Linked DNA regions of Diceros bicornis minor. The protein of the gene in region 2 purifies or fractionates together with the protein of the main gene of each other region. This does not show direct contact. Links are inferred from orthologs where the notes say so. Each region holds a gene or a part of one and is shown on either strand. Other genes may lie near its edges.

Evidence for each region.
Region 1: the proteins of PPP2R2B (region 2) and MTCL1 purify together in Homo sapiens (affinity purification with mass spectrometry; 4 studies listed by BioGRID and IntAct, with this or other methods). This does not show direct contact. The link is inferred for Diceros bicornis minor from reciprocal best matches to the Homo sapiens genes PPP2R2B and MTCL1.
Region 3: the proteins of PPP2R2B (region 2) and SERTAD4 purify together in Homo sapiens (co-immunoprecipitation; 3 studies listed by BioGRID and IntAct, with this or other methods). This does not show direct contact. The link is inferred for Diceros bicornis minor from reciprocal best matches to the Homo sapiens genes PPP2R2B and SERTAD4.
Region 4: the proteins of PPP2R2B (region 2) and MYO9A purify together in Homo sapiens (affinity purification with mass spectrometry; 4 studies listed by BioGRID and IntAct, with this or other methods). This does not show direct contact. The link is inferred for Diceros bicornis minor from reciprocal best matches to the Homo sapiens genes PPP2R2B and MYO9A.

The regions. Positions count from the first base shown.
Region 1 is NC_080755.1:6,944,203-6,952,217, forward strand, and holds the start of MTCL1 (microtubule cross-linking factor 1), read right to left. Parts: upstream 3,006-8,015; 5' UTR 2,637-3,005; coding exon 1,566-2,636; intron 1-1,565. UniProt on the Homo sapiens protein: Microtubule-associated factor involved in the late phase of epithelial polarization and microtubule dynamics regulation.
Region 2 is NC_080740.1:64,198,276-64,205,643, reverse strand, and holds the start of PPP2R2B (serine/threonine-protein phosphatase 2A 55 kDa regulatory subunit B beta isoform), read left to right. Parts: upstream 1-4,367; 5' UTR 4,368-4,706; coding exon 4,707-4,776; intron 4,777-7,368. UniProt on the Homo sapiens protein: The B regulatory subunit might modulate substrate selectivity and catalytic activity, and might also direct the localization of the catalytic enzyme to a particular subcellular compartment.
Region 3 is NC_080743.1:76,280,994-76,288,310, reverse strand, and holds the start of SERTAD4 (SERTA domain-containing protein 4), read right to left. Parts: upstream 3,009-7,317; 5' UTR 2,685-3,008; intron 1-2,684.
Region 4 is NC_080744.1:65,556,935-65,564,618, forward strand, and holds the start of MYO9A (unconventional myosin-IXa), read right to left. Parts: upstream 3,008-7,684; 5' UTR 2,943-3,007; intron 2,704-2,942; exon of another isoform or gene 2,326-2,703; intron 1-2,325. UniProt on the Homo sapiens protein: Myosins are actin-based motor molecules with ATPase activity. Unconventional myosins serve in intracellular movements. Regulates Rho by stimulating it's GTPase activity in neurons.

The DNA.
Region 1 (8,015 bases), on a different chromosome or scaffold from region 2:
CCATTTTCTGTTGCTTCACAGTCATGATTTGGATAAACATCATTCAACCAAAAACACTGTGGGTCAGTGATTATGCTGAGTTGCAGCTACAAAAGTGAACAAGACCATCTTTCTGGCCCTCTGGGAGCTTACATTTGTTGAAGATTTACAAAAGTGCTGGTCTCTCAATAGAGTCACACAACACAGTTGCTTGCCCTTTCTCTCCAACACCTTTGAATTTCACTCTGTGGTCTGCTACATTAAAGAGTAGGTGACAGGAGAGCAGTATCTGAAACATCTCACTCCAGTCCCAACCTGCCCTCTTTTCTCACCTCTCTCCCTCACTGTTACCTCTCTGCACCAATAAATAACTCCTGGGCTCAGCTGGTCAGAGCTGCTCCTGACCAGAGGTTTAGGATTAGGAATACTCGGCAGCTAACTGACTCCAGTTGGAACTGCACACTTCACCACCATTCACCTTAAAAGCCCACACCCTAGGTCCCACTGGCCAAAAACTAGGCCTCACTTGGGTAGGTTCAGCATTTGCTGAGAAAACAGCACAAATCACTAAACCCACTGATAAAGGAGGCCCAGTGCACTGGTTTGGGGGGATATATATTACCATCTCAACAGAAACACGAATAGATTTATACCAACTAACCTAACCTGTGAATTACAATAAATTAAAACAATTGCCCTCAATACAATCCCCCTTATTTTCTCTCATGTCACCTCGATTGTCTAGACACCTCAACACTGTCTAAAGCCTCTGTTCTGCAGCAACAGCCCTCCTCCTCAGAGAAAAGATGGAGTCAGACTGAGTGCCCCAAAGCTAACAAGACCAAGAGGCCACTGACTGCAGGTCCTGCGGGAAAATACTGAGAGAGAGGGTGGCAGAGGCTGCGATTCCCTCGAAAGTGCTGGCGCGTGGAGGGAACCAAGTGGCCTCTCCTGACACGAAAAAGCGGCTCACGGAAGCTTACAGAGGACTGACCAGCAAAACACTGTTGTCCTTCAACCCAGGCCACACTCAAGGGACGCCTGAACTTAGGTTTATCACCGAAAACAGCGGAGCCCCCTCTGCCTGTCCTGTCCGAGCCTCTGAGGGAGACACTGAGGGCGCTGGATAAGCAGCAGACGCGTCCGCAGCCTGGGCCACCGCACCCTCTGGAACCGACCGACACACACACACACACCCCACCCCCCTCCGTGGCCCGGACCAGAGCTCCTTGGCTAGGTATAACCCACTCCCACAGGTGAGGGTGGGCAGATATGTGGGAGTCAACTGTGTATCCAAAATGTGATTATAACCACCCCTTCCCCAGCACATCGACAGGGGCAAAGGCATCAGCTGAGAAAAGCAAGCCTTCTAGAAACAAGAAAAGCTAATTGGGTTGAGAACTGGCCCGGACTCACAGATCTTGGTGCTCCTTCTAGAAGTTTTGACTTAAGTTCCCAATGCCCAGCGTGTGCGGCGGCAGTAAAGTGAAGGGCAGAAGGGAGAAAGTCCTTGTCAGGACCCCAAAGGCGGGCCCCTGCGCGCACCCAGACCCTCCGGGACACCTGCGGCAGAGCCGACTGCTCACCTTGAGATAGTCGTTCTCCGAGCGCAGCTCCTCCATCTCTCGAAGCAGCTCCTCCTCCTCCACCGCCGGTACTAGCCGGGGCTGCTCGCCCGCGCCGGCCTCCTTGGGGGTCCCGGGGACCGTTCGCTCCAGCGGCAGGCGTCCCCCGGCATCCTCCGCCACGCCGGGCCCCGGGGACCCCGCGGGGACCCCGCCCGGGCTGCCCCGACCCCCGAGGCAGGCGCCGGCGGCGGGGGGCGCGGCGAGGAGGGCGGGGGGCTCGGGGCTGCCCGGAGGCGCCCCCCGAGCTGCGGGACTCGTCGTGGGGGCTCCTCGCAGGGGTTCCCGGTCGCTGGAGCCAGTGCCAGACTCGGCGTCGCTGCTGGCGGCGGGGAGCAGGCGCTGCTCGTCCGACAGGGGTTCAGAGGGGCAGTCCGAGAGATCGGAGCTGCTGTCGGTGTGGCTGATGCGCGAGCCGGGGGCCGGGGAGCCGGCCGCCGAGGTCACGGCGAGGATCACCGCGGGGACCGGGGCGGCCGGGGTGGGGAGCCCGGCGGCGCGGGCGGGGGGCGCCCCGGAGCCACGTCTGGCTTTGCGGCCCTTCGCTGTGGCGGGCGGCGGCTCGGCCCCGAGCGGCGGCGGCGGCGGCTTCCCGGCCCGGGGCAGAGGCTCGGCGGGCGCCGCGCGCGCTGCCCTCCTGGGGCCCGGAGCGGCCTTGGCGCCGCCCGCTGCCCTGGCCCCGGCGCCCGGCGGCGGCTTGTCCTTCGCGCCCGGGGCGCCGCCGCTGAGCCGGGAGAGGCGGCCGGGCGCGGCCAGGGGCCCCGGCGAGGGCGGCGCCTTGCCCGCGAGGCTGGGCGAGCGCGGGGCGGCGGGCGCCGGGGCTCGGCCCGAGGAGGGGGCGGCCGGGGCTGGGCCGGGCGCCGCGGGCCGGCCGTGCAGGTCCTTGAGGAATGGTCTGGCGGGCGAAGGTGCGCGGTGCAGCCGCCTCCGCTCGGCCAGCGGGTGCAGGTGGTGGTGGCGGTGGTGCTGGCCGGGCGGCTGCGGCTTCGCGTCCGGCGCACCGCCGCCCGCGGGGCCATTCAGCGTCTCCATGGCCGGCGCCCGGGCCGCGAGCAGCAGCTCGGGCGGCAGATGCTCCGGGCGGCGGCTGCGTGCAGCCTCCCGGCGCGCTCGCTCATCACTGTCCGCCAGCCCCGCCCGGTCTGCGCCCCGCGCTCCCGCGCCGCCGCCGGCCCCCCCGCACCCCCGGCCCCAAAGATCCCCGCGGGGCTCGCAGCCGCCGTCGCCGCACTCTCCCCTCGCTGAGGTCACTGCCGCTCGAGTTCTCCCGGCGCAGCAGCGCGGCGGCTCCCTGCCGCTCGCATCCCCTGGACGCCGCGCTCCCGGCTCGCGGGGCCGCCGCCGCAGCCTCGCACACCAGCTCTCGTCCGGCAGCGGCGCGGTCGGCGCGCTCCCCGCCCACGGCGGCCCGCGCCCGGCAGCGTCCGCCCGCCGGCTCCGGCCCGCGCCCGTCCCCGCCCCCGCCGCTCCCGGCGGAGAGAAACTGCACGCGCGCTCCCCCGCCTGCCCGCGCCCTGTGCGCATGTCCTGCCGGCGGCCAGCCGGCGCTGGGGGTGGGGCGGAGGCGGGGGGCGGGGCCTGCGCTCCCCCGGGGCTCGGGCGCGCGCTGTGTCCTCAGCCCTCTCTGCCCTGGGTCCCTCCTTGCTTTTTGAGGCCCCAGAGTCAGTGCCAGGAGCTGGGGAGGGAGGGAAGTAGCAGAAGCGAAGTGGGGGTAAGGTGGCGGGCACTGGCCGCTTGTGGGAGACTGGAGGTCCGGGAGGCGTGGGTGGGCCCCTCTGAGTGGGGCGCCAGCTTTCCCTGAGTTGACCAACCCCCCCCAAAGGCCCCTCCATCCAACCCCTGCCTCCCAGGACCCGGTAGTTCCCCCTCCCCCACTGTCCTATCCAAGTGTGCCCAGAGTCTCCACTCTCCTTTAAGGCTTGCTGGTACCCGATGCAGCTATCGCGTCAAAACGGACACAGCACTCCACAGTTGGCACCCCCAGTGGCCTCTGTAGCTCTGACAAGGAGAAGCTGCTGTAGAAATAGGAAAAGCAGCTCGCCAAGCTTGGAGTCAGAAAAGGAACTCACATTTATAGTTCCGGCTGCCAGCCAGGCACTGTTCGACACTTCATAGGCATTGTTTTATTTAATCCTCATAACAAGTCCGAATTGGAATTAGTCTTCTTTAAGGACGGGGACATGGGTGCAGGGAGGTGAAGTCGGTGCCTTAGCCAGTCCATGGCTGGGCCCGGAGTCACAGCCAAGTCTGTGGAATTCTCAATCCTACACGCTATCCTCTCAGAGAACTTGCGAGTCTGACGTGGGCCACTGACGTTTTTGAGCCTCAGTTCCCTCGCCTGTATAATTAGAAAATACTGCCACCTGACTTTGGAGATTAAATGAGCAAATACGAGAAAACACTGTGTAAACTGTAAAGTGCTTTTCAAATATTCTTGAGCGCAGCTTTTGCGTCACGCGTTGGATGTTGGGCAGTACTCAAAGGAATAAGGCCCAGTCTGTCGTCTAGACTCAGCTTTGGGGAAGGCAGTCATTACAAGTTGCTGGGTGGGCACTTACCCAGCTGGGGGAGGTTGGAGTTTCCCAAGAAGGATGAGTTGGTCTCCTGGGTGAATGCCCAGGACTTGCCAGAGCAGAGGCTGTAGGTGAGATGACGCTGGAGGGGTGGTGGGCCCAAATATCCTTCGGCGGAATTGGGACGTTATCCTAGAGGCTGGGGGAGCCGTCCGAGGATTCTGAGCAGGACTGATCTTATTTGCTTACAAATATACCACCGGCGGCAGCAGCAGGAGAGGGAGGCCGATGAGGGGGAGCTGTGGCAACGAGCACAGACGACGGGGCAGTGGGAGTAGGGGTAGAGAAAGGGGGACAGACTTGTGAAGATAAAAGACTAAAAGAAAACTAGACTCCCAAGTCTGATCTTAAGTACGAATTACCCTACTTAGCCACCTCCTTCAAAAAAATGCGGGATAAAGTGATTTTTTTTAATCCTGTAAATCAGCAGGGCCGTACTCCCAGAAGACATCCTATCTGCTTCTCCTCACATCCCCGCGGAGATGCCTGCCACGCCCTGTGACCGAGCTCTGAGGACGCTGGAACCTAGTCTGCTCTACTGCTCTCTTGTTTCATGTGAGTCCTTTCCCTGGCAATTCCTCTGAATGTGTAACAGCACACACGGAATATAATCGGTACTGAATCTCCTTTGACTCAGTATCTAACAAGAGCACAGCCATGTTTCATGGAGTATTTGGAGAAAAAGGGCACTGGTGGTGACAACACTGCAGAGAGGCTTGAGAGGTGCCGAGCCACCACGCCCGGCCAGCTCTCCCCTAGAGGGCGCCCTAGCCCCCCTTCCGGAGCCGGCCAGTTAATCAGCGTGTGGCCGCTGTCAGTCCCTGGAGCACAACTGACTGGAACGCGGGGTCCAGGAGCTTCACTTAGAACTTCTTCCAGAGACCCAGAGTCTCCATCACCCTCACTTTTCTCAAGAATTATGTCCAGGACTCTTAGCACAAGCATGCCATTCCTCATACCACAGATATCATGCAAAAGACCACCTTAAAAGTGTTTCAAGGGGCCGGCCCGTGGCTTAGCGGGTAAGTGTGCGCGCTCCGCTGCTGGTGGCCCGGGTTCGGATCCCGGGCGCTCACCGACGCACCACTTCTCTGGCCATGCTGAGGCCGCGTCCCACATACAGCAACTAGAAGGATGTGCAGCTATAACATACAACTATCTACTGGGGCTTTGGGGGAAAAAATAAATTAAAAAAAAAAAGTGTTTCAGTAAGTTAGTCTTCCAAAAAAATTAGCCAGGTGACCATACTGTTTGTGGCCAGCGTCCCTTTCCTTCCCGTAGTAAGTCAAACAAAACCCCTACTCTGGATTATTAGCCTGGCATTTGCTTCTGCTGGCCTTGGCAGCAAGGTGTTCAACAACGCTTTCTTTGTTTTCCAATATTCAGTGAGTTACAGGTGTAAAGAGATATCTGCTTGCATAATAAATATTTTTAATGTCACATGTGATTTTTAAACATTTTTTGTTGTTAACTCAAGTTAGTCTAAAGGCAGTAGGGGGTTTACTATTTAAAGGAGCCTTGAAGAGCTTTATTCTGGAAAACAATAAAATCTAGTGTGCGTGTGCCTATTTGGGTTTGTCTGCCCTCACACTCAGTCCTTGCCCTTCCCCAACTCACTCTGTATAGAGGGGAAATAACCCATAAAGGTTGGTTTTCCAAGTTCCTGGGTTTGCTGATTGGGTTTGGCCAGTGGGAGGCGCTGTGGGAGATTGGCGTGTAACAGCAAGCGAGAAACCAGCGTAGCATTTCTTACCTTCTCTTTCTGCCTTAAGTGGCTTCTTCAGAGTGGCCAGCTCTCCTCTGTGGACTGGCTTATTGGGGTTTCAGCTTTCACTGGACGACCTGCTCCCTCTAGTAACTTCACCTCCTCCCATTGCCTCTCAGTGGAGGGTGGTAGTGGCTGCCTGTGGTTGCAAATCTCTGGTGACTTCACTGTCCCCTGTTTGGCTCTTGATTCCTCCCCCACCTCTGTGACCAATTCCCTGCAGTGTAATCCCTGTGTTGTAAATCCTTGCACTACACTCCGGGGTTCCGATTTTCTCATTCTTCTGCAGAGGCCTAATTACAAGCCTAGGGAACTGCACGCAGCAGCTTTGATGTAATAAGTAGTTTAGTATAACTGTGTCCATGACCTCCTTGTCAAAGAGCAATGAGGTATGGTGACAAGAGGTATTGGCACCAGGTAAATCTGGGTTCAAATCCTAAGTCACTTGCATTCTGTTTGCCCTAGGGTAAGATATTATTATCAATATCACCATCATCTTTATTATTTAACACCAGTGGAATAATCTTCAGTACTCTTTAAAATGTGAGCAAACCAAACTTGGAGAGTTAGAAATCTAGTCTATGTCTGTACAGTTATATAAAGAGAAACAATTTTTCACTTTGTTTGACTCATAGAGGAAAAAATACAAGTTAGGACTGCACGTCCCTTGCTACTCTGTATTCACAGGCAGAATTATATGCAGAATTTCTGCACCCTCAAAACCTTGTCCAAACCTAGGGACATATCTATTTTCCAGTGTTTTCCCTTATTTTAACACGAAAGCACATTTAGAATATGAAATCATTTCTTGTTTAAATAATAAGAAATCATCCTCTTTGAAAAGAGTGGAAAGCAGAGATTTTTAACAGAGTGGGCAATTTTTTGGGTGCTTCAGGAAAGTTAGGGTTAAAAAGGGACAACGTGAGGTCAGGTGGCCCTCCTGCGTTTGAAGCTGATGTGTCCACCCCAGAAGGGGGCAGGGTGCCTCCCAGCTCCTCTTGGAGGGTTACTGCCAAGATGCCATAAGGGGCCTGAAGCACAAGGACCACTGACCCTTTCTCATGACCAGATTGGCAGCTGTGCGTGCTGGTGACGGTGGTGATGAGGATGGCTTCAGAGGCTCTTAAACCTTGAGTACATTAAAATCACCTGGTGAGCTTGTTAAACTTGCAGATACCGTGGCCACATCCCCCCCTGATTTCAAAGGTATGGAGTGGAGCGCTGGAATCTGTGTTTTTAGTAAACAGTTTTGATGCAGGTAACCACCTGACCACACTCTGAGAAACACTGTGTTAGTATTTGTAACACAGCTCCAAGTGTCGTATGCTTGTCATTTGCATTTCCTCATGGTTCTTTTTGAAACCTCATTCAGTGCTGTGTAAAAATCTGGATGATCAAGATTAAGAGATATCGATAAAGATTTACTCAGTTAAAACCGAACTGGTCACATGTCCCACCGAAGGCCTCTCGTAGCACCAGTCTCGGGGAAGTGGTGAGTCTCCCTCTGACTTGAGAACCTAGAGGAAGGATATCGATGACAGTAGAAGGAGGGCCTTTTGCTCTGGAACAGTGCTTCTTAATGAGGGTGGAAGCACCCTCTAGGAGCACTGTGGAAGTTTGTGGAAGTATTTTTTGTTGTCACTACAATGGATTGGGGAGACTAGTGGGATTTAGGAGGGGAGTCAGAGATGCGAGATGTCGTCAATAGGCCTAGAGAAGAATTGTTGGCCCACATGCTGCACAACTTCCAGACCTCCTTCTGAAACATTCACATAGGTTAAAAAATGTATATATGTTTATCATTATCTGAGCCTGGAATGTAACTGTTTGTCTTAGTCTGTTCTGGCTGCTATAACAGAACACCACAGACTGGGTGGCTTATAAACAGTAGAAACTTATTTCTCGCAGTTCTGGAGGCTAGAAGCCTGAGCTCAGGGTGCCAGCATGGTTGGGTTCTGGTGAGAGCCCTCTCCTGGGTTGCATACTGCCTGCCATCTTCTCGTGTCCTCATGTGGTGGAAGGGGCAAGGGGTCTCTTTGCAAGAGCACTGCTACCATCCATGAGGGCTCCACC
Region 2 (7,368 bases):
TTCTCGTTGCTCATTAAAACACATTGAGAGGCGGTAAAACTGAGGTTTCTAAGTCACTTTTGTTCACATGAATGATTGACTTGTAGTGCATCTCTCCAGTTCTATGCAGATGGAGACCCCGAGGGGCCACTGCTAAGAGGAAGAACCAATATTTTAGTGAGGCCTGGCTATGGGCCAAGCCTGTACTAAGTACTTTCTTTACATTGTCTCTGAAGCCACTCAACAACCCTATGAAGTAGCTCCTATTACTTTCTTCCATTTTTGCAAATACTGAGGCACAGAGATGTTAAATTACTTGCCAAAGGTCATGAAATTCATAAATGCTTGAGCCGGGACGCAAACCAGGACTGTCTGACACCTAAAGCCTATATTAAGAATCCCCAGACTGGCTTAGGTCAAAGGTTTGAATAAAATTGTAGATATTTAATGTGCGAATTGGACAGGATGACCTAAAAGGTTCCAGTGTAGGCAGCACTAACCTAACTGGGGTGAGGTTGTATGGGAGTATTGGGGGAGAGGGACCATGACAAGGGTGATAAAAAAAGAATGTGTCCACATGCTGTCATGCCGAATTGTGTAACTTAAGAAGGCTGTGTACTTGTAATTGGCCTTTTCTGTGTAAAGCACAAGCCTGAATTAGGTCAGCCTTTCAGAGCGTCCTCTGTTGCCCGTAGTGTAGCCTGTGGCCCCTTTACATAAACTGTAACTTAGATGCTAAGTTCCTTGACAGCAGAGACTATCCATCTTACGCATTGATGTTGCTGAATCTCCAGTCCTATCCCAGTGGCCAACAGAGTAGGTGCTTAAATTATTTGTTCAATATTGATGGTGGTAATGATAGTAAATAACAACTAGTAGCAGTATAACATTTCCAAGCATTATCTCATTTAATCCTCACAATAACTCCATGAAGTAGATTCTATTCTTCTCCCTAATTTATAGATTTAAAAAATAAAAACTAAAAAACATGGCTTAGAGAGATCTTACAACTTGCTCAGGACACAATAAATGGCAGAAAATCAGCTTTGCTTGATATCAGAGCCTTGGCACTTAACATTATGCTATAGTCTGTTGCTTTATAATGCATTTGTTGTATTTCTAAGAAAGCTCATATTATTAAAATCAAATGACAGAGTTTCAGTTCTGTGAAGAAACGAACTCTGTTTTGACTGTATCCCCAGCACCTAGAACAATTTTTGGCATATATTAGGTGCTCAGTAAATATTTTTGGTGGATATGCATACAGGAATGGGTAAGACAATTATTTCAACAGGAATAGGAGTTACAAGCTAGAAAATTACTGGCTCACCATTACAGGCTTTGTTTTGGGGCAGGAGGTTTGCAAGAATTTTGATAAGGGTAGAGCTATAAAACCTAAATATCACGGAACAAATTCAGTAATTTACTCATTCATTCAAGAAATATTTATCTCCATTCAACAAATATAATTGAGCATCTACTAAGTGCCAGACACTTAATATCAGAGATACACTGAGAATGGTTGACAGTAATAAGTAAACAACTATTACAAAATGCAATGCACTACGAAGACGACAAAAAAAAAAAAAAAAAAAAAAAAGATGTAGAGACAGAAAATACCAGAGGAAGAGGCTATAGTGTGTTCAGGGAATGCCCCAACGAAGTAAGGACTGTTCAGCTGAGACTCTGAAGAATACCGAGAACATGAGCAAGGGGCATAGAGAATGGCATGTGCAGATGCCAAAAGCTTTTGGAAAGGACTTGACATGTTGGAGGAGTAGAAAGAAGGTCAGCGAGTCTTCTGAGAAACAGTCTGTGTAGTCTTCTTACCACAACAGAATTGCACAGGGCTTCTTTCACCCCCTTCCCTCCTTTGCTACATGTCATTGTGTTAAAGCACAAAGGCAACAGCTTTATTTTTCTTGGTTTTGGTTGGAGGGGCTAGTTCCCCATTGCTCAAAGTAAAAAAGAGTGGTCCACAAAATTGAAATCTTGGAATCTATTTAATCCATGGAGATCTATCTAATTTGCCTTCTCAGAACTTGTATCTTAGGGGAAAAAAGGCCTGTATTGTTGAATAAACGCAGGAGGAATTTTGCAGGGAACAAGAAAGGGAAAACTGAGTAAACCCGGAGGCTTGATCTACAGAGGAAACATTTGTCCCATTGGTTACAGTGGAAAATTCCTGAAGCACAGCCTGGCCAATGAGCCTGGGCCTACCTGATTCATCAGGCAGCTCTGTTCCAGTCCAGCCCACGTTCCAGGAAGATAAGGGGGAGAATTTCCCAAATACTATTCCAAGGTGTCCTGTTGCAACTTAAGGTCATTTCAACTGAAAGCAAGATGTCTTCTCACCACTTTGAGATGAACTTGGCTTTCTTCCCCTCTGCCCCCGCTCTTCCCCATTATGCTGATCTGCAAGAGAAGCTGGACTGTGTAACTATAAATGAGCTGACCGCTGGAGCCTTGGTGATGGATACAGCTCATCATGTGGAAGAACCTTCCATGGCAGCTGATGCAGAAGTGGATTACATCAACTTGCACCAGTCTTCATCTGTTACTGGAATTTCATATGTGAATTTTGAACAAATAGTCAAACAAGTATGTAAGACTTCACCACCAGATGAGAATAAAATGGAATCTATTATAAGCTAAACCTCCCCCCCAAATTATATCAAAGAATGTTTCTACTCTCTTTGCCCGGAGATACGCGATCGCTTTCTGGAGATAGGGACAATGCCATTTTCCACCTGCCAGAAGCATCTATTCTTCATGGAACTCTAACGGCAATTCCCAACCTCAGTTAAGAACTTGTTTTCCCATTTTTTTGAACTTCAAATACTTTCTAAATTGTGTTAGCTGAAGCATTGTATGTATATAATTAACTCACAGGTCCCTCTGGGCTCATCTAACTAAACTTGTGGAGCTTAACTGAGCAAGACGTGCTGATGTCTCTCCCTGCAGTGTGACACCCACTGAAATGAATACCTTCTACAAGAGGAAACCAGGGAAATTTCTTTTCCAAATTGGCTTTCTAGTGATTTGCGTTGCTTCGTAAATGATTTTAGTTGTTTCATGACAATAATCTAATTTTCTTTCAAATACAGCATTTGCAATTTGCAATTGGGGGAAACATGAGAGGATAGGAAATTCTATATCTTCCTCCTAGTTGAAGTAGGAAGACAGGCCTCTTTTTTGTATTCATGGGATCTTTGAAACACCCTCAGAGTAGCAGTGGCTCTCTGTGGGCTCAGGGCTCCAACGTACCTTCCACGTTGAAAGTAAATGTAAGCCGTTCCTGCAGTGCTGTGTCCTCACGAGCAAAACCTACAGGATGGCACTCAGCAGTTTGCCCAAAAGTGCAAAGGGCTAGGTAAGATGAACTTTTTCAGATTGACTCCACTGACTAGATTCATAACTCAGCCCTCTGCTTCCCTCTCGCTGTGTAGACATAGACGCCTACAGTTAGAATGAGATGTTTTTGACTCTGTTTGGAACGAAGTCAGATGTGACCGTAGAAAAGTTCTGGCCCCTGTTCCCCCTTCTATGCCTAGCACCGAGGGGGCTTAAGCTAGGCTTTGAGCAGCTCATCTTCACATTCTCTTCTCTTTTTCTGAGGCTTCGAGCCCCAGGCCTCGCCCTTTAACTTCATCAAGGGATCGCATGCATCATATAAGGGTGAACAAAAGGGACCTGGATGTAGACCTCCTGCCTACCCAAGGGAACCTACTTCTCCTTGCTGTCCTGAAGCGCAGGTGTCTGGAGAAAGGCAGCGAACTAGGGACTCCGGGTGCTCGAGTAAACGCCGACCGCCGTTAGCTGCGTGGCACCAGAGGAGGGAGGTTGGAAGAGCACGTTTTAGCTTTTCTCGTGAACCTGCAAGCTAGCTGCTTGCTGCCCAGGTGCCGGTTCGCGGCTGCGTGCGCCCCACTGCAGCAGAGAGCAGCCGCAGCCTCTGCTTCGGCCACCACCGCTGCTGGGGAAGAGTCCTGGGGCTGCTGACGCGGTTGGGAGGAGCCTCGCCTTGAACGCATCAGCCGCCTCCAGCCTCCTTTTGCTGCAGCAGCAGCAGCTGCGAGTGCGCGCGTGTGGGTGTGAGGGTGAGTGCGCTGGCGCCGGCCGCAGCGCCCTGCCCAGCTCCCCGCTGGCTTCCTAGCCCCCGCCAGCCGGAGCCGCCCTCCCGTGGGACTAGCACCCTCCTCCGGGCCGGGCAAGCCTGAATCCTGCCCCTACTATCTCGCCACTGCAGCTCGGGTCCAGAAAGGCACCATTTTGTCGCGGCTGCCCGCTCTTCCAGAGGGAGGAGGGATCTTTTTTGCATTTTGGAGCGGCTGCCAACGAGGGGAACCTGTTGGGCATCTCCCCTGCCCCGCTTGTGAGCGCCTCCGGGGCGGCGGGCGGGACCAGACCCCTCGGGGCACGGCGCATCTTGGCACCCGGAGGCAGCGGAGGCAGGCGCAGCATCCTCGCTGGGAATTGGAGCTGGAGTGAGCGCACCGCGGGAGGAGCCGCCGCAGCCTCGGAGATCCCGAGTGGAGGAGGTGACAGCTCCATTGCCGGGTTTTTATTTTTTTTTCTCTCCGCCTCCCCGTCTCCTCCTCAGGCTCGGACCATGGTGCAGTCCCACTGGCTCCCCTGCCCCCCTCTCCTGTGAGACTGGCTGCGGGGAGGGATCATGGATACTTGTCTGCCGGCTTCTGGTTCCCACGCAAGTAAGCCTGCTGTCAATGGAGGAGGACATTGATACCCGCAAAATCAACAACAGTTTCCTGCGCGACCACAGCTATGCGACCGAAGGTAACGCCAGCCCCGCCGCATTCCGCCGCTGGGGCCGGGCGCAAGTTGCGGATCGCTGTGCTCCACGGGCAGCTGGGCGCGGAGCGTCGGAGACTCCTCTGGGCCCCGGGGCTGGAGCGGGGGATTGGCTCACAGGGGCAGCCGCCAGTGCGCCCCACATCCATCCGGGCTCCGCGAGGCGAGCCTGGCGTTCAGCAGCAGGTGGACCCGGCGCCCACGGGAGTTAAAATGGCCCTCGGGGATTAGGCTTTTCAGGGTGGGGTTCCTGGCTGGAAAAATGACCCCCAAAAGGCAGATGACCACTCCCTCAAGATGTTTGCAGGGGTCTTGGCGGGGAGAAAAGAAGGAAGGGGCCCAGAAGGACCGCAGGTCCTCCCCTCCCTGAGCGGAATGATGTTGTCTCTCTCAGTGGCTGCAGGGAGGGCATGGTTTCATTTCCTGCCCGTTCATCTCTCCGGCCGGGTTACCTGCTCAGACAATCAAAACCCCAAAAGGCCCTGGGCAAAAGGGCGAGCCCCCCTCCCCTTGGAGGTGCATTAGCAAGAAATAAAAAGGTAGCTGGGGAAGCAGTGTTCCGGCGGCGAGCGAATGAGTCTGACACGTGGGGCGAGCAATGGGATCAGTGGGGCCTTTAAAAATCACCATTATGAATTCTGCAGCAGTAGTTTCTGCTGAATCAACAGCCAGCAGAAAGCAAAAGGGTTCAGTAAGCTGAGCTGTGCCAGGAGGTGAAATTGTCGTCTCTCTCTCTCTCTCCTAGCTTGTTCTGACATTAGCCTGAGTGCCGTGTGGCCAGGCAGGGAAAGTCAGCAGGTGGAATCTCATTTCGCCTTTTGTGTGTGAATAGAGAGTGGAGGCATTTTTTTTTTTTCAAATACCAAAACTTCTGCATTTTTGCTTTCATTATCTACCTGTAGGCCTTTATCCTTAACCACTCATATAATGTGTTGCATTATCACATTGCAATAGCCACGTGAGGAAATGGGTGTGCAGGTGCTATAGGAAAATGTGGCGAGGTATGTTAAGATTATTGGTATTATTCTTGGATGCTAAAATTTCTATAATATTTCATCAAATCAACACTACTAGAGAAATGTGACAGGGGGAGTAAAAAAGTTCAAGATCTGAAAGAAAGAAAAAGACACAATTTGGGGGTAAATGTGGCATCTTCTATAAACATCCCTGGAAGTTTTAGATAGAAAGCATGCCCAACGCTATTGAAAATATATTCTCCATTCATCATTATTATTGGAGAGCATCAAGCCTAATGTGTCCATGGTGCTAGACAGATTAAGCAGAGTTGTAGATCTCTGGCTTCCAGGAGCTTAGAGATGGCTTTTAAAATGTTCAGTCTATCCCTCCCCCATACCAAGCACCGTACTTGCTGATTTCTTTTTATTTGCATGGTGACGATGTGGTTGTGAGATGTTCTTCCTCAGTCTTACTGCTTTGTCACTGACTCGGTTACCAGGTAGAATATGATTAGCTCTGTGTATAAGCATGTCATCCAAGAGAGAAGATGTCCTTGGGTCTATTGGCTTTTGGGGGGACACTTCTTTCTATTTGTGACAACAAAGAAAGAGGGCTGCCTTCATGTTTTCTTCTCTATTGCATTATGCCTCCAAGTGTAGGCAAAGGAAACTTACTGAGCTGAGAAGATGGGCAAACTGGGGCCACGTGTATAGGAGTGTCATCTGTAGAATGAAGAAACGAGTTAAAAATGGCATTCCTGATTGCTTTCAGGGCCCTAGATACTGCCTAATCTTTGTTTCTATTTTATGGCATTTTTGTAAACTCTCATTCTGGATAAAATATCTGGGTTCATGTAGTGAAAAATGAGGTATGAGTTTATAGCAAAGAGCTTTCAAAAATCTTTCTAAATCAACCTCTCAGATATCTCTCTGTCTCTGTCTCTCTCTCACACACACACACATGCACTAAACACACTCAAAACTAAACAAATCTTTATTTCACAGTAGGTTTCCAGGTTTCTTGACCTGATCTTGGTGAAGGTCTGGGAAGAAAAAAAAAAATGGAACTTAGACAATGTGAATAGCAGAAGTTAGGTAGAGCTGGAAGCTGTCTATGGTCTTAACCTATTCATTTTAGGGAACACTCGTGCAGTGGCGCCAGCCTGAAGGGGAAGAGTCCTCCTCTTCTGATGAATGCCTTAGAAGTGCTGGTATATCTTGAAAGAGCACCAGATCAAAATATTCTGTGTTAAATCCACTTTATTGGGGGCTTGTCCCCAAACTTCTCTTCCCTTTTATTAGCTTAAACCCACTTTTAGGGAATTAGCTTCTAGGTCCTTCTATGTACTGCTTTTCTTTTTGTTTCCTTTGATATTTCTGCATTTTCCTACTTGCCCAGATATGTCAGATTTTTTTTTCTCCAAGATCTCCTTTGCATTTATCTCTGAATTTTTCTTCCCTCTGCTCGGATCATTCCACGCTGCAGTATTCTATTTAAAGCTGAAAGGTTTTTGCTGTGTAGTTAGTGTGAAGGACTCTAAGCTCAATTTGCATTGTAAGTGGTAGCTGCAGGCAAGTTCATCCAGCTAAGAGCAATGCAAATGCTAAAGGACACTTTTAC
Region 3 (7,317 bases), on a different chromosome or scaffold from region 2:
CCAGCAAGTGAAATTCTATCATTATGCATTTGAACTTGAAACATGGCATAATCGTTTTTATCTTGGCTGCTTCTTTCCTTTAGGATATCTAATTTCAGTAGGCTTTTCTTTTTTGAATTGGAAACTTTTACACACAAAATCCTAAACTGGAGAGGCTGAGTTCCACAAGTGATTTATGTAAGTCTGAATAAAATATAAATGAGGGAGGATTATTTGGGAGCAGGGAAGAGATTTTGCAATTGAGTCTTCCTAGTCTATTTAGAACTTACACTGGGATGTTAACAAATTAAGAAGGCAAAAGTAACATAAATGAAGAATTGGAGTGTGTGGCACTAAGCACCAACATTTCACCGGATTCTTTATTTGTATTATATGTACAGATCCAAACTGTCATTATTCTCTGTATGATGAGATTTACACTATAATTCTGAATTATAATATAGTTCAGTACTAAACTACTGAATTCAGAAGTTTAAATCATTTATGGCAAAATTTATTTTTTTTTAACATCAGAGGTGACTGAATTCAAAAGAAGGGTGTTAAAGTGTGTTTTGTTTATACATGGGTTTAAATAATAAAAAATAAAATGCCCTAACCTTTTATCCTCAGGCTCCTGCCTGTCTGCTTTGTCAGCCAAGTGGATGTAGTGGAATGACACCTCAAACATTCCCAGAAGGCTGAGGGCTAAAATGTCAACCTTTTCCAGCAAATGTTCACAGTAAAGTTACCAGGCATTTCTATACAATTTGGCTTTTCCAGATGAGTTGGGCTTGTTCTTTCCTGGGAGCCATTATGATGCTAATAGGAGCGGCTGGTACACAGAACAAGGTAGCTACAGATTCAGTGGCACCTGGAATCTCACAGGGGCCCCTGGTCATTCTTTGCCCACCCCTCCCCCACCTATCATTGGAAATTAGAGAACATCTGATTAAGAGCATTATAGCAGTTACAGGTCTGCTTCCAACACTGAAAAACAGAGTAGTAAAGGCCTGATATTTTCAATGCACCTTTGACGCTGCCAGTCTTAAATGTCCTGCCCAGGTGGAATCAAGCCCTTGACCTTGACATTGTCTCTAACAGGATCTCGACAGCTTGTCCAGCTCGTGGTAGTGGAAGGGGCCGGGTGGTCGGAATAAAATCCTTCAACCCCTCTAAATAGACAGATGTCGCTTTTCTGCCAGGCCCTGCAGCACACCTGTCTGCCCTGGGAAGTACATTTCTCAGCTGCAGCTCCTAAAGGCCAAGAGCTTTAGGTCGGGTCCCGGGGCCGGGAATGAGGATGCTGGGCCTGAGGGGGACGAGGGGGGGGCCCGGTGTCCGAGCCCCGGCGTAAGGTCTCCCCACCCCAGGCCCAAGACTGGGGTGGGAGGTTTGGAGAACCGCGCAGCAGCCACCTCATCCCTGCTCCCACACAAGACACACCCCCGGGGATCGGTGCCACAGCCCCTGAGCCCCTCCCCGGGGTAGCGAGCAGAGCCCTGCCGGCCGCCGGCCGCAGGAGAAAGTAAACAACACCCCAAGTGTCTGGGAACAAAGGCAAGTTGTCTTTCCACGGTGCCGGAGCCGTGCGCCTCTCCTGAAGAATAAGAGCTATTATTATTCTTTCTTTCTTTTCTTTTTCTTCTTCTTTTTTTTTAAAACCAAGTTTCCTTCTAAGGGAAATAAACACCAAAGGTAGGATTCCAAGGAAATGACTCACGGCGGTTGGCAGGGCTCTGGCGAGGCTGGCCCCGGCCCCGCGCTCCAGCCCGCAGCAGATGCCTGCCCGGCCCTCCCTCCCTCCCTCGCCGGCCAAACCCACTCGGAGCCCGCGGCTGCGGGAGCGCCCTGCGCATCCGTCGGACGCGGGCGGCGACGACACGGCCGGCGCTTCCCGCAGGCGTCCGCCCTGTCCGCGCCACCCTCAGCCGCCGGGTCGCCTCTCCCCCCGCCTCTGCGGCCCCAGCCGGGCACTCCGGAAAGTTGCTAGGGCCGAGGAGGCGGGAGGGGAGGAAGGGAGGAGAGAGGCGGAGGCGTGGACCAGGCGGGCAGCAGCCGAGCCCGCCGGGGAGGTGAGCTGAGGACAGAGGAGCCGCCGCCGCCCGCAGCGCGGCTCGGCTGCCGGGGAGGAGGGTGCGGGGGCGGAGGTGGCGGGGGGGGGGGGGCAGAAGGTGTCAGCTCCTGCAGCTATTCCCTTTTCTTGCAAACGCGCGCTTCTGACATCCACAATCCCTCCCTCCCCACCTGCCAGGCGCCGCAGCAATCAGACCTAGGGCATCCCTCCTACTGACCCCCGTCCCCTAGGATAAAGGAATACGCGGCCACCGAAGACCCTGAGGTCTCACCAGAGCTGCTGTCCCCTGTCGCCCTTTCAGTCGGCTCGGTGCGCGCTGGCGGCAGCCGGAGCAGCCCTAGAGGCGGCGGCGGTTCCCGCCCGGGTAAAGGCGCCGCGGCGCACGCCATCCCCGGGAAAAGCCCGCGCCGCCTCTGCGCCCAGCTGTGCCCTGGCCCTCGCGCCGCCCCCGGTCCCGCTCCAGCGGGTGCGCGTCCACTCGGTGACCCCAGCGCAGGCCCGGTGCCAGGAGGGCGCGCAGGAGGCCGCGTGGGTGCCAGTCCGCGCGAGCAGACGCTCAGGGGGACCAGCCCTCGCCCTCCGCCCGCCTTGGCCCTCCGCCCCCGCCGCCCGCGCCCAGCCCGGCTCTTACCGCGGGGTCAGCCGGGAGGCGGCGGCCGCAGCGCTCGCGCTGCAGCTTGTCCGCTCTGGGCTCGGCGCCAGCCCGGCCGCCGGTGCACACTCGCGCCGGTCCCGGCCCGGCGGCCCGGTCGGCGGTGACCGCTGGTGCGCGGCGGGCGAGGGTCCCGGCAGGTCCCGCCGCCGCGACTGGGGCGCTGCGCCGCCGTCGCTGCAGACGGTTATGGTAATTAGCGGCTCTGTCTAGCGAGGAGCGTGTGAAACCCGTCAATCCTGTTTGCCATTTCCCCGTGGATTTCCGAGGAGAGGTTCTGCAGGATGCCCCCAGGGTGAAAGAGGGAACATGACAAGCGCGCCCGCTCTCCCTCCCTCCCTCTGCTCCCGCCGCCGCCGCCACTCCTCAGGCAGCACACGGGGCGCCTTCCCCTCACCCCCACCCCAGCCCGCCCCCTGCCTCCTTCCCGCCCTCCCTCTTCGCTCTCCTCCCCTCCCCTCCCGGTGCCCGGGGACACGCGGGCCCAGCTCCAGCCCGCAGCCCAGACCCCACGCGCTCCCGGGCTCCCGCCCTAGCCCTGGGGGCCCGGTTCCAGCCAAATAATGTATTCGCTCTGCAACCTTCTGAGATGTCTTCTCTTTTTTTATTTGATTTAGTTTTGTTGTTGTTGTGTGTGCGTGTGATTAAAAAAAAAAAAAAATCCGTGCCTTTCCCACCCTTTGCAAGAGACTTGCTTCTCCTTTGCCACGGCAAACGGAGATGAGAAACAGATGTCTTTGCAGGGCCGAGCAGTTAGTTATTCTCCCCTCGCCGCCCGCCCCCGCCCGTTCCCCTCCGGAGCTGCATATGTATAAAAACGCAACCTTGGTCCTGCTGCAACTTGAGTTGGCAACTCTTTCTGGATGGGGAGCCTCGAGGGAAAACCTCCAGGAAATAAAAAGTAATAAAAGAGGTTGTTCTTGGTCAAGAGAATGTAATTTAAGCCCCGGAATCACATTATTTTACAAATAGTAATTTTCCCCTGTATTGGGTTCAATTGGAGTTTGTTTTTTGAAACATTAATTCATAACTTTTATCTAGGGACCCCTCCCTAGTCGAGATGGGTCATTTCAGGTGTAATGAACGCAGAGGCTTGGAAGGCATAGACCTAATAAAATCGAGAGAAGGCACCTGCACAAAAGTGTTACAAAGACTATAATGTTTGTTTACTGCTACTATGCCAGATGTGCTAAATATAACGCTTCTTTAAAACAGTGATCCTCCGACTGTGAAAAACCAAACCTCTCCCTGCCTGGCTCCCTAGGAATCAGGGAGAGGCACAGACTGAAAATCGAGGAGGAGAGGAACAAGATCAAGGATGAGGATTAGCATCCGCAAATTGAACTCTATCTAATTTGCATGTTTATTTCTTAGAATTGTAATTAAATTTGTGTAATAAATGTTTTCCATTTCATTTGTACACAAAATTTGGGTGACTGACATGCAGTTAAGTGAATTTTTTTTAAGCAAATGTAGTTTATTCAATAAAGCAGCAAACAAATATTAAACATAATTAGAACTAATCTGCTTTGAAGGTATTTTTGTTGAACTTTGTACATTAAAGACTCTCAGAGGTTTTAAGGGTATTAGGAAGCTGAGAGAAGGCAATTATGCTGAAAACAGACTAACTCAACAGACTTCCAGGAGCATTATTTCATTTTTTCCAAAAGACATTTTGGGTTGCCTGTCTAAAATTGGGAATTGGGCCTCCATCTTGGTTTTATTCTGAACCACATTAAATTGCATTGGCTCATGCACGATATAGGCCATAATGATGATGATTTAGGAATTGTAAAGATTCCATTTTGTGCAATCAATGAGTGTTGCATGCCCAGGTTATGGGTAGAATATAATTTTCAGTTAGGTGGAAGAGGTGGGTAAGGAAAGGCATAAGGGCATTTAAAGTAGTGCAAGTATTTGAAAATCTAAATCAGTATTTAAAACTGGTTAGTGTCTAACTCAAATAAAGGACTAGATGGGAGGGCTTGGAGGCATGGCTTATTATTGTTTTTATCTCCCTATATTAAAGTTTTATAGCATTTAAAGGACTTTGGGGAAATCCCCACATACACTTGGCTATGTCAAAATACATAAAACCAAAAGGAGCACATTAAGCATAAAATTGAGAAATAACATGAGACTAAGTATCAGCATGAGTTACATTGGCATCTTTGGAGCTTTGGCTCTGAGAAATGAGCCTTCTGGGAAATTGGCATTACCCTTGGGTGGTGAGGACTTTTGGCTATAATGTTACAACAAAAGGACATCACAACAGCAGTATGAAATCATTGTACTTCACAGCACCCTTGTGGTTCTGAGTATGAACTTGACCCTGTCCTGTTCAGATATGTTATGTTAGCATGTTTTACCGACAGCTTTCCCTGCCTTACTTTTAATCTCAAGCTTAATGTTTTCTGAGATTCAGTGCTCAACTGTTGACAACATGAACCCATGTCTACAAGTAGAAAAGGCAGTCGAATGTCCACGGAATGAGAAACATCATTTAAACATTAAAGTGAGTAAGTGGTGGCTATGGCACAAGAAAAAAACTAACTGTAAATCAATAATGAAATATTTGGAATGAGTGCAATTTATAATGAATTGCAATATTCAACCTGAGAACTATGATGTCACCATTTTTGGATATGTGTGCGTGTGTGTATGTGTGTGTGTATGAAGTTCCGAGATAGAAATTAGGTGATAAAACTTAAAATACCTTGAGCTGCAAATTCACTGAAGGCAGTGATTGTTTTTCTCCAGTTAACAGAATGCCAGACTTACAACTGCTGAAACCCGTTTCACAAAAACTTGGTGTCATTTGAAAGGAGGATTTCTCAAGTAAAATTTGACTTATTCACATTGCTGAGGACACAATGCTCATTTGGATTAATAAAAAGTCTGAATTACTGGCTTTAAAAAAAACTGCAACCTTTTTACAACAGAAAGAGTTGTCTACATTCACTCTCCTCAATTCCTCTTCTCCCATCTCAAACCTTCTCCAATTAGACTTTCTTATCCCATCATTCCATTGAAACTGTTATGGTGTCAGTGTCACCAAAGACCTCCATGTTGCTAAATCCAGAAAGTCTATTCTTGGTTCTCATCTTCTTTGACATGTAAGCAGCATTTGACCAAGTTGATGACTCTCTCTTTCTCGAAACACCTTTTCTCCTGCTTCCAGGACTACATACTTACCTGGTTTGCCTCTTTCCTTACTGGTTCTTCCTTCTCAGTCTCTTTTACTGCGTCCTCCCCTTCTCTATGACCTCTGAATGTTAGAGGCCCTCAAGCTCAGTCCTTGAACCTTGTCTCTTCCTGTTAGCCATGCTCTCGTGGATCTCATTCAGTTTCATGGCTTCAAATACCATTTATATTCTGATGACTCTCAAATTTAGATCTCCACTTCAGACCTCTCTCCTGACCTCCAGACTCCACTTAGAACTTTGACATCATAAGCTTTACAGATTCCCAAATCGAACCGCTAATGGTCTCTGCTGCCCCAACTATGCCACCCTTAATATTCTCCATTCCAGTTAATAAACCACACTATTTTTTAAGTTGCTCATGCAAAACCTTTGGAGTCATCCTTGACTCTTTTTTTCCTCTACACCCTACATCTAATACATCAGAAAATCCTTAAGGCTCTACCTTTAACATTTTTCTAGACTCTGATCACTTCTCATCACCTCTACTGCCGCCACCCTGGTCTAAGCCACCATCATCATCTCTTGCCTGGGATATTGCAATATCCTCCCAACTGGTCTCCCTCATTCAGTCTTTGGCCCCTTCCACAGTTCACTCTCGGCTCAACAGCCAATGATGTCAATTTTTGCTAAGACTTTTCCTAGGGATCCCATTTCGCTCATTGTAAAAGCCACATCCTCACAAGGGCCTACAAAGGCTGGAGGTCTCCCTTTACTTCTCTGACCTGACTCTGTCTCCAGCTACTCTGGCTTCAATGTGACAGGCCTGTGCTTACCTCAGGACATTTGTACTGGCTATTCCCTTTGCCTGGAATGCTCGTACCCCAGATAGCTGCACATATCAGTGCTTCATTTTTTCCAAGTCTTTGCTCAAATATCACCTTCTTAACAAGGTGATATTTCTAACTCTTAAAATCGTAATACTTCATCTCCATATCTTATTTTGTTTTTTATCCAGAGGATTTATTACTTTCTAATAAGCTCTATATTTTACTTATTTATTCTATTTATCACTTATCTCCTTCCACTAGAAAGCACGGTCACTGAGGGCAGGGACTTTTTGTCTTTTTATTCACTTCTATATCTCCAGAACCTAGCACAGTGCCTGGCACACAGAAAGCACTCAATAAATATGTGTTCATTGACTGACAATTGACTAAGATTCTCACATATGTACAGAAACTCAAACAAGGCTCCTAGTCTAGTCTAGTGTATGCATGGATGTAGCTCCTCTAGTGTATGTAGAATAGTGAAAATAGGCAGTTCATTTTATCACCAACTCGTTTGCCTCTTGTGGAATTCTCTGGCCAAGTGCTCTTATCTGCCTTGCAGCATTCCAGGACCTGAAGACATTCCCAAGATCCCCAGGTGCCCAATGGTTTCATGCTGCCCTGCCTAAGAGTCCTCAA
Region 4 (7,684 bases), on a different chromosome or scaffold from region 2:
ACATGTCACAAATTTAATTCCTCTTTCTTGATAAAAAATAAAATAAAAATCCTACTCCTCCCTCATATGGATGGCCACCTCAGTGAAAGGCAGAAGCTAGAAACCTAGATCTTATCCTCTATGAACCCCATCCCTAATCCCAAATCTAACGAAATCACCAAGACCTATCTACTCCAATACTCAAATCCAGACGCACTATCATCATTTGCCTGGACTACCCTCCTGATATTACTGCCTTTAGCCTTAGTCTACCCTTCAATCCAACCCTCCACATTGCAGCCAGAGTGACCTTTTAAAAACACAAATCTGATCATTTCAGTCCCCTACATTGAATCCTTCAATAACTTATTTGATAAATATAAATGACCATCAAAGCTAGTCACTCCACGGAAGCTCAGAGGTTCAATGAGAAATTTACTTTAGTTATATTCTTTTTTGTAGGTTCAACACAAAGAATCATCAGGAAATTTTAACACCTGATACATTTAAAAAACAAGCATGCAGCACTGTTTGTAAAAGCAAAGATGAAAATAACCTCAAGACCACCAAAATGGAATACTACCCAGCCAAGTAAATGAGGCACGTCCATATGTACTGTTGTTCAATGATCTCTAGGATCTATTATTAAATGAAATTTTTAAAAAACAAGCTATATACAGAGTGTACAGTACGCAAGCATTTGTCTGTGGTGTGTTTTAAAAATATAAATGTATAGGCCTATATATGCTAGAAATATCCCAGGAAGGAGACACAACAAAATGGAAATAGTTGCCTCTAAAGAGGGAAAATGGGATGGTTGGACGACAAAGAGGGAAGAGAAATTTTTTACTGCATACCCTTTTGAACCTTTTGACTTTTATACTACATTTAGTTACTACCTATGCTTATAATATGACTTTCCCCTCCTCAGTTCCACACAAAACAAAATTTTAAAAGTACTGACTACAAAAATCTCTCTATACTTCATCCCGATACCAACGTTAAAATTATGCACTGATCATTTGGTGTAACATTACATTTCCTTCTTGACAGCTCAGGAGTTCAACTTCAACAAACAACATTTTATTCAATATTTTACTACTGCTGAGAAGGCTGTTGATAACATCAGTGAACACTACATGATAACTGAACTTGCTCCTTGGAAAAGCAAGGCAGCAGGTAGCAGAAACTTATTATTGAATGGATACTTAAATTTTCAGGTATTAATTAAAGCTACAAATCTTACTTTTCCAGGAAATTCAAAAACAGCAAACCAAAAAAAAGTCCCCTGGTATCCTCCAAAAACAGTGCAAAAGACCTGCAAAAATCCACAAGGTGAGGCAAATGATACTACATGGGGACAGCTATACCCATTAGTGTAACGTGATTTAATCCTTATAGAGGTCCCTAACACGTCGCATCCGGACTACCTCACACGTTCCACAGAAGAGACAAGATGAGACACAGGCTGTGTGACCTTATAACAGCACACACACCCCCCGCCCTGGGCTTCCATACTCTTCCCTCTTCCTCTCTTTAGCCACCAGACTAAACCGTCCAAACATGGGTGTCAGTTGGCCCGCTTAAGCCCCACTGGGAGGAATACACTAGGCTAAGCAAACATCCCTTCAGGATTTCACGGCAAAGCCCTTTCAACCAAAAAAAGGATCGCCACCTTTCTCTGAAGGAAAGAAAGATAAGAAGGTCTGCCTGAGGAGAGCAGGTCTGCGGGGGGGGGGGGGGCGACAGCAGGGGTCGGGGGAGAGGCCGCTGTCTGCCGGTGTCTAGAGAGGCTGACACCAGATCCACCGGGAGGTTAGAGCATCACGAAGCAGACTCGCCGAAAGCCGAGTTGGGTAGGGGAAGAGCTCGTCGGCTGGGCGGTGAGCGAGCTGAGAGGCGGGGTCCGCGGGGAAGAGGGATGGGCAGCGATGAACACGCCTTGGAGCTGGGGGTCGCAATGGGTTAGGGGGCGGCCGTGACTGGGTCTCAGAGGAACTGTGATCGGGTCAGCTCACGGGAGGATGTAACGGAGCCCGGAGGCTCCATTAAGAGTCGTAAGAGAGTCCGAGGGGGGTTCTAACGTCGTGTGCTGGGGTAGGGGCCCGTGACAGACCCGCCGGGGAGGCTGGAGGACCGGAACGGCGCCGGCCCATGGCAGATACGATGGGTGCGGTCTACCGGAGCCCCGGGGCAGCGATCGGGTGTCTGGGAGGCCCCGGGGACGACCCGCGCGGGGCGTCTCCGCTGGGGCGGGGCGGGGCGGCCCCGCAAGAGCCAAAGAGCGAGACTGAGACGTGGGCCGGGCCGGCGGCAGGGCCGCTGCGCTGCTTGGGCGGGTCTTACCTCGGGCTCCGCCGCGGTGGCCACCACAGCCCCCTCCTCTTCGACGGAAGCCGCCTCCCAGCCTCGGTCCCAGGGTCAGACCGGAGGAGACAGCGGAGGCGGAGGCCCCCGAGGGTCGGACGGTTCCGGGAGGGTGGGCCCAGCTGCCTCAGGGTCCGGGCGAGCGGCCGCCGCGCATCCCCCGCCCTGTCAGAGAGACTCCGCCCGGCCTGGGCAGGCACATCGCCCGCCGCACCCCGCCCAGAGAGCACGCGTTGGCCCGCCGCCTCAACCGCTGTCGCTGCCTCTGCCGGTGCCGCGGGTGCCTCCGCCGCCGCCTTTCACGGTGCCGGCTGGACTCTCAGCAGTCACCGCCAACCGCCGCCGCGTCCCTAGTCCGCTCGGGCGCGCGCGCCCCCGACCCCGCGCACGCGGCCCCGCCCCACGCGACTCCCCGGCTGCAGGCGAGCAGGCGCGCGCGCACCTACCTCCCACGCCCCCTACCGCCCGCCCGAGCCGGCCCTCCGGCTCGGCCCCGCCCCTGCGCGTGACGCCGCCAGCGAGTACAGCTTGCGCTTGCGCGGACACGCCTTATCTCATCCCGCCCAGGAGGCCCCGCCCAACCTTTTCTTCCTCACCTTACGGCAGAGTTGGGAACTCGGCCTTAGATTTTCCCTCTACGAGAGAGGACTGTCGCAAGGTTGAGGTAGAAAATTCTGGGTTTGCGACCGTAGCTCTGGCTTTCCGGCCAACAGCGAGGTGCCAGAAGGCTGAATGGGGTGGTGAGGCCCCAGGCAGGTAAGAAGCCGCCTCCCCACTTCGGTTTGTCAGTCAGTGTGTCCCAGCAGGGGACTGCTTTGCTGTCCACGCAGCTGTAGCGTATTCGTGCCCCCTCCCCAATTCTGCCGCAGGGTTCTCAGCGCCGCCCCTCTTAGCCCCCGCCCCTCTCCACGCACACGCCCCTTCCTCCTGCATTGGCCCGCCCCGGACCTCCGTTTCCTAGTCTTCCTTTCCATTCATTCCGCAGACTTTTCATTGAGTGGTTTCCGTGCATTAGACTCCATAAAGTCAGAAGCGAATGAAATAGTCTCAGCTTTCTGAAGTGCTGTGTTACGTGGAAGACAATGAGAGAATCCGCAGTGGTGGTGTAGTAAAATCATAACAGAAAGAAAGCACAGGATACTCTCTGAGCATAGGAGAGAGGCCCCTGGTTGTGTAGAAGGACGGGAGGAAACCCCTTCCAAGGTGACGTTTGGGTCGTTCTTAACTTATGTTAAAAGGCTCGTGAGCAGTAGCTGGTCGAAGAAGTGTTAGATGAGATAGAAGCAAAGAGAATGACGGCTACAGAAGCATATGACGGTATTGGCTGGAATGGTAAAAAAGAGGAATAGAATATAGCTGGTGGAAACCATACTGGTGTAGACTAACCTTTAAAGAAGCATTGCTGTGAAGGCTCAGAGCGATGAGAGGCGAGAATGTGGGCCGCAAGAATGTTTTCTTGAAAGATGGGAGACTTGGGCATAAAAGTGTACCATGGAAATGAAAAGTGGACAATTCATGGTTGAGAGTGGCTAATTTATAGGATCAAGAGCACTAGTGGAACTCAATTTTGTATGCACATTAGAATCACCTGGGAAGCTTTTTTTAAAAAAAAACCAATGCTGTTGGTCTACCCAAGACCAATAAAACAAACTCTGGCATCAGTAATATTTTAAAGTTCCTGAGATGGCTCTAGTGCTGAGGGTTGAGAACCACTAAACTAGAGAAAAGGAAAGGATGGAAAGTAGAGAAAGGCAGGAAGTTGCTGGAGTTGGCTCTGTAACATTAAGATGGGAGTCATTTGATGAAAGAGTTAGGGATAGAATGAGAAGCTTGAGCAGAGTGATAAAAGTTTTGAATAACTGCTGTGGGAAATGGGAGAAAGAGTCACTCCTGCCTTTTCCTTCAGCACAGTTCCATCCCTCAGTCTTAATCAGGCCCACCTCGCTTACGACTCTCTTTCCTCTCCCTTTCACTTCCATCCAGGATTTGTCACCTGGGGATCCAGCCTTAGAGCTCAAGGGCATCCCCATTTCTATCCCCAAAAAGATCAGAGCTAAGCCAATTTATGAGATTCAAAGGCTGACTTCACTCCCCTACACACAGTGCCTTACCAGTTTAGAATCTGTCTTCTATTATTCATTTCATCAATCATTTAAGTTAGGAATGAGATATAAGGATATTTAAGATATAGCCCTGTTAGGATCTCATAGTATTAGGGAAAACAAAGCTTTAAAAGAAGAATTCACTTGGCAGGCGAAGAAGGTCTTTATAAGGCAAAGCCCTAGCCAGTCCGTGGTTATTCTCTGTTAACTAGGGTTAATCCAAAAACCTGTCTGCCTGCCTCCAGATAAGAGAGGTACTGTTGTCTGGTATGACTGGAGTTTAGTATGGAGAGTAGGGGTGGGGCAGAGATAAAGATGATAAAGTGGGTGTGAACAAATTATGAGGAGCCTTGAATTCCATGCTAAAGCATTTATATTATATACCATAAGCAATTAATAGGTATAAGTACCAAAGATAAAAATAACCTCTTTACACCATGAACCTCTTTGTCAGCCTGGCCTGTGGACCCTATCTCAGAATAACGTTTTTAAATGTATAAAATAAAATACATAGAAACATAAATCAATTTCATTAAAAGTTTTGAAAATACTAAAACAAGTGTATGGCATAGTTATGTGCTTCTTTATGCATTAAATAACGTCTGGCAGCAGGTCTAATTATGTAATTTCAAAGTAGTGATGAGTATAAATTATATTTTCAGATACTTGTAACAACTTTAAAGTGATGTGAAAATATCATATTTCTGTTGATGACAAAGACATAGGGACTGCTAATGCTACTGTGGATTATTGCCTACACCTATTGAAGAAAATGCTAAATTTTAGCTGGAGATATTGATAATAAAGATCCAACTTTTTTCCCAATTCAAGTTTGTAGAACCCTTAAATTCTAGCCACATCTTGGCCCATCAATCCTAGATTTATAAAAAGCTCACTGTAATGGTTTTAAGCAAGAGCGTGACAGATCAATCTGTATTTACTAGAGCAGTGTTCACTTCCCGACCTCTCTGTTGGAGTGGGAGTGGGGAACTGGCTGTTTTCTTCTGCTCCTCCTGTACCTTAGGGGCAGCAACCAGTACGAATCCACTGTTGCCTAATAATTTGGGCCTGCAGGAGGACTGAGCTTGTGGCTGTATTTGTAGAGGCAGTACTAGGAAATAAATTGGGAAAGATAAGTTGGGGCTATTTTTGTGGAAATCATTGAATGCTAGGCTGTAATTTGTACTTAATTTGGTAGACAATTGAGAGATGTGAAAATTTTTGGAGTAGAATAATGTAATTAGAGTTCTGTTTGAAAAATTAATCTAGCAGTAATGTGTAGGTTAGATTGTCAAAAGAGAAGATAGGAACAGAGACTAGACCAATAAATAAATAAATAAATAAATTTTTTAACTAAATTTTATATAAAGTGATCTCTCCAGAATCTGCTGAGTTACTTTATTTCCCCAATGTGACTGACCAGTCTAAAGAAACATAGATTGGAATAAATTACATACCTTTCAAGAGAGATGTGCACACTAATGTGGAGGTCAATTAGCATTTTACGTGGTCAAGAGGCTAGCCCATTCTTTTGTATTATAAATGATAATGTTAGTACTTCTGATAAGCAGTGGCTTTACCACATATATAGGTTCCCAGAGGTTGCTAAGGCCTTCCTTGGTTAAATTCCATCTAGACATGTAAGTCCTACATTGCTGACTCCTTAAGGTCAAAACACCTCTCTCTTTGCCAATTCCTTAAACCTCTTGGATAAGTAAAATGCGTTAGCAAACGAAAAGGAAGTCCTCAAGGCCCATCTCTTTGGAAACTGATCAGTATTAGACTATATAAAACTTACTGCCCGAATCCTGGCTAGCCTCCAAATTGTGTGCTTTTTTAAACATATTATTCAAAAAAATTTTTTGAAGGTCCAAATATTACTAATCAAAATGAGTAAATGTGAAGTTACTTAACTTTCTGAACCAGATTCTCTGAGAGACTACCTTCTTCAGCATGAGTATAACTTTAGCTTGACCACACCTTGTATTGACTTTGTCCATCTAACTATTGGAGACTATTTGTGTAGTGATAAGGTTCAGTACAGACTGAAAATCAAGTTTATGTAGAGTTTGAGATTCGTCTATCTGTCCCCTTTTTGGGGAAAGAGAGGAATGGGTGCATCTTAAAGCAGAGAATACTTGAAATTTATGAGGTTTTTTTAAGAATTTTTATTACTTGCAGAAAATCTCTGAAAGTTCCTTTCTCGGGCTTCTAATTAAATGGCTACCCCTTCGCACATTCATCTGTTATGGAAGCACTAGAACACAGTCCTGATACTGGAAAAAATTGTCCCAATTACAGTTATTATTTTTGAACATCTATATTACAGGTTTAAAAACCTTAAGTCTGCCTTCCCTGATAGCCAACAAATAAATAAATGCTCTCTCAGAGTAGTGTGATAAGTTAAATTCCTTCAAAACAATAGCTTGAGGATTTCTGGCCTTAGTTGGCTCTTAATTTTCTCACAGCAGCAACTTGTCACTTTACATTAAAATAAATAGTTGCTGGAAATGGTTAGCCCTACTTAGTAATATGTAATATCATTCAGACTTGGTCAGATAACTCACAAGTGTTTGTGTTAATTAACATTTAAAGACAAATTGCTAAGACAGAAAATTCTATATATCATGTGTCCCATCAGACTCTGTTTTCCTGTCAGCACAGTACAGTAAAACGTAAGTTCATTATTTCTTTCATTCATTGAATATTTATTGAGCCCCTAGTATGTGCCAAGCACATTTATGAATCCCATTAATTAAGAGTTTCTAATAACAATTTACCTCTTAACTATCTATGAAAAAAATAACTTACCAAGCTTTGAAATCTCCAGGACAAATAAGATTAAAAGATGGCTTTTTCGGACTCTTTCAAACACTATGTTTACATATTGCTACTATGTGCTGAACACAGTGATTATTTATGAAATCAGGCAGATTATTACTTTAGCTTGACCATACCTTATCAGCTAAGTATATCAGCTATATACTAAAATAAAAGTCTGTCCACTCCTTTATAAAATACTATCTTAGACCTCTCATTAAATCTAATGGCCTCCTCACACACTGTCTTTACAACCCCAGTCATTTTAAATTTTGCAGTTGTGTAAAGTCATTTCTCAGAAAATTTAAGCAAAACAAAGTCAGTTTAAGAAAAGGCTGGTGTTTACACCAGGTTTATAATAAGGAAAAATAATTGTGACACAATTATAGATCTAACGCTTGAGATAGAAATAGTAG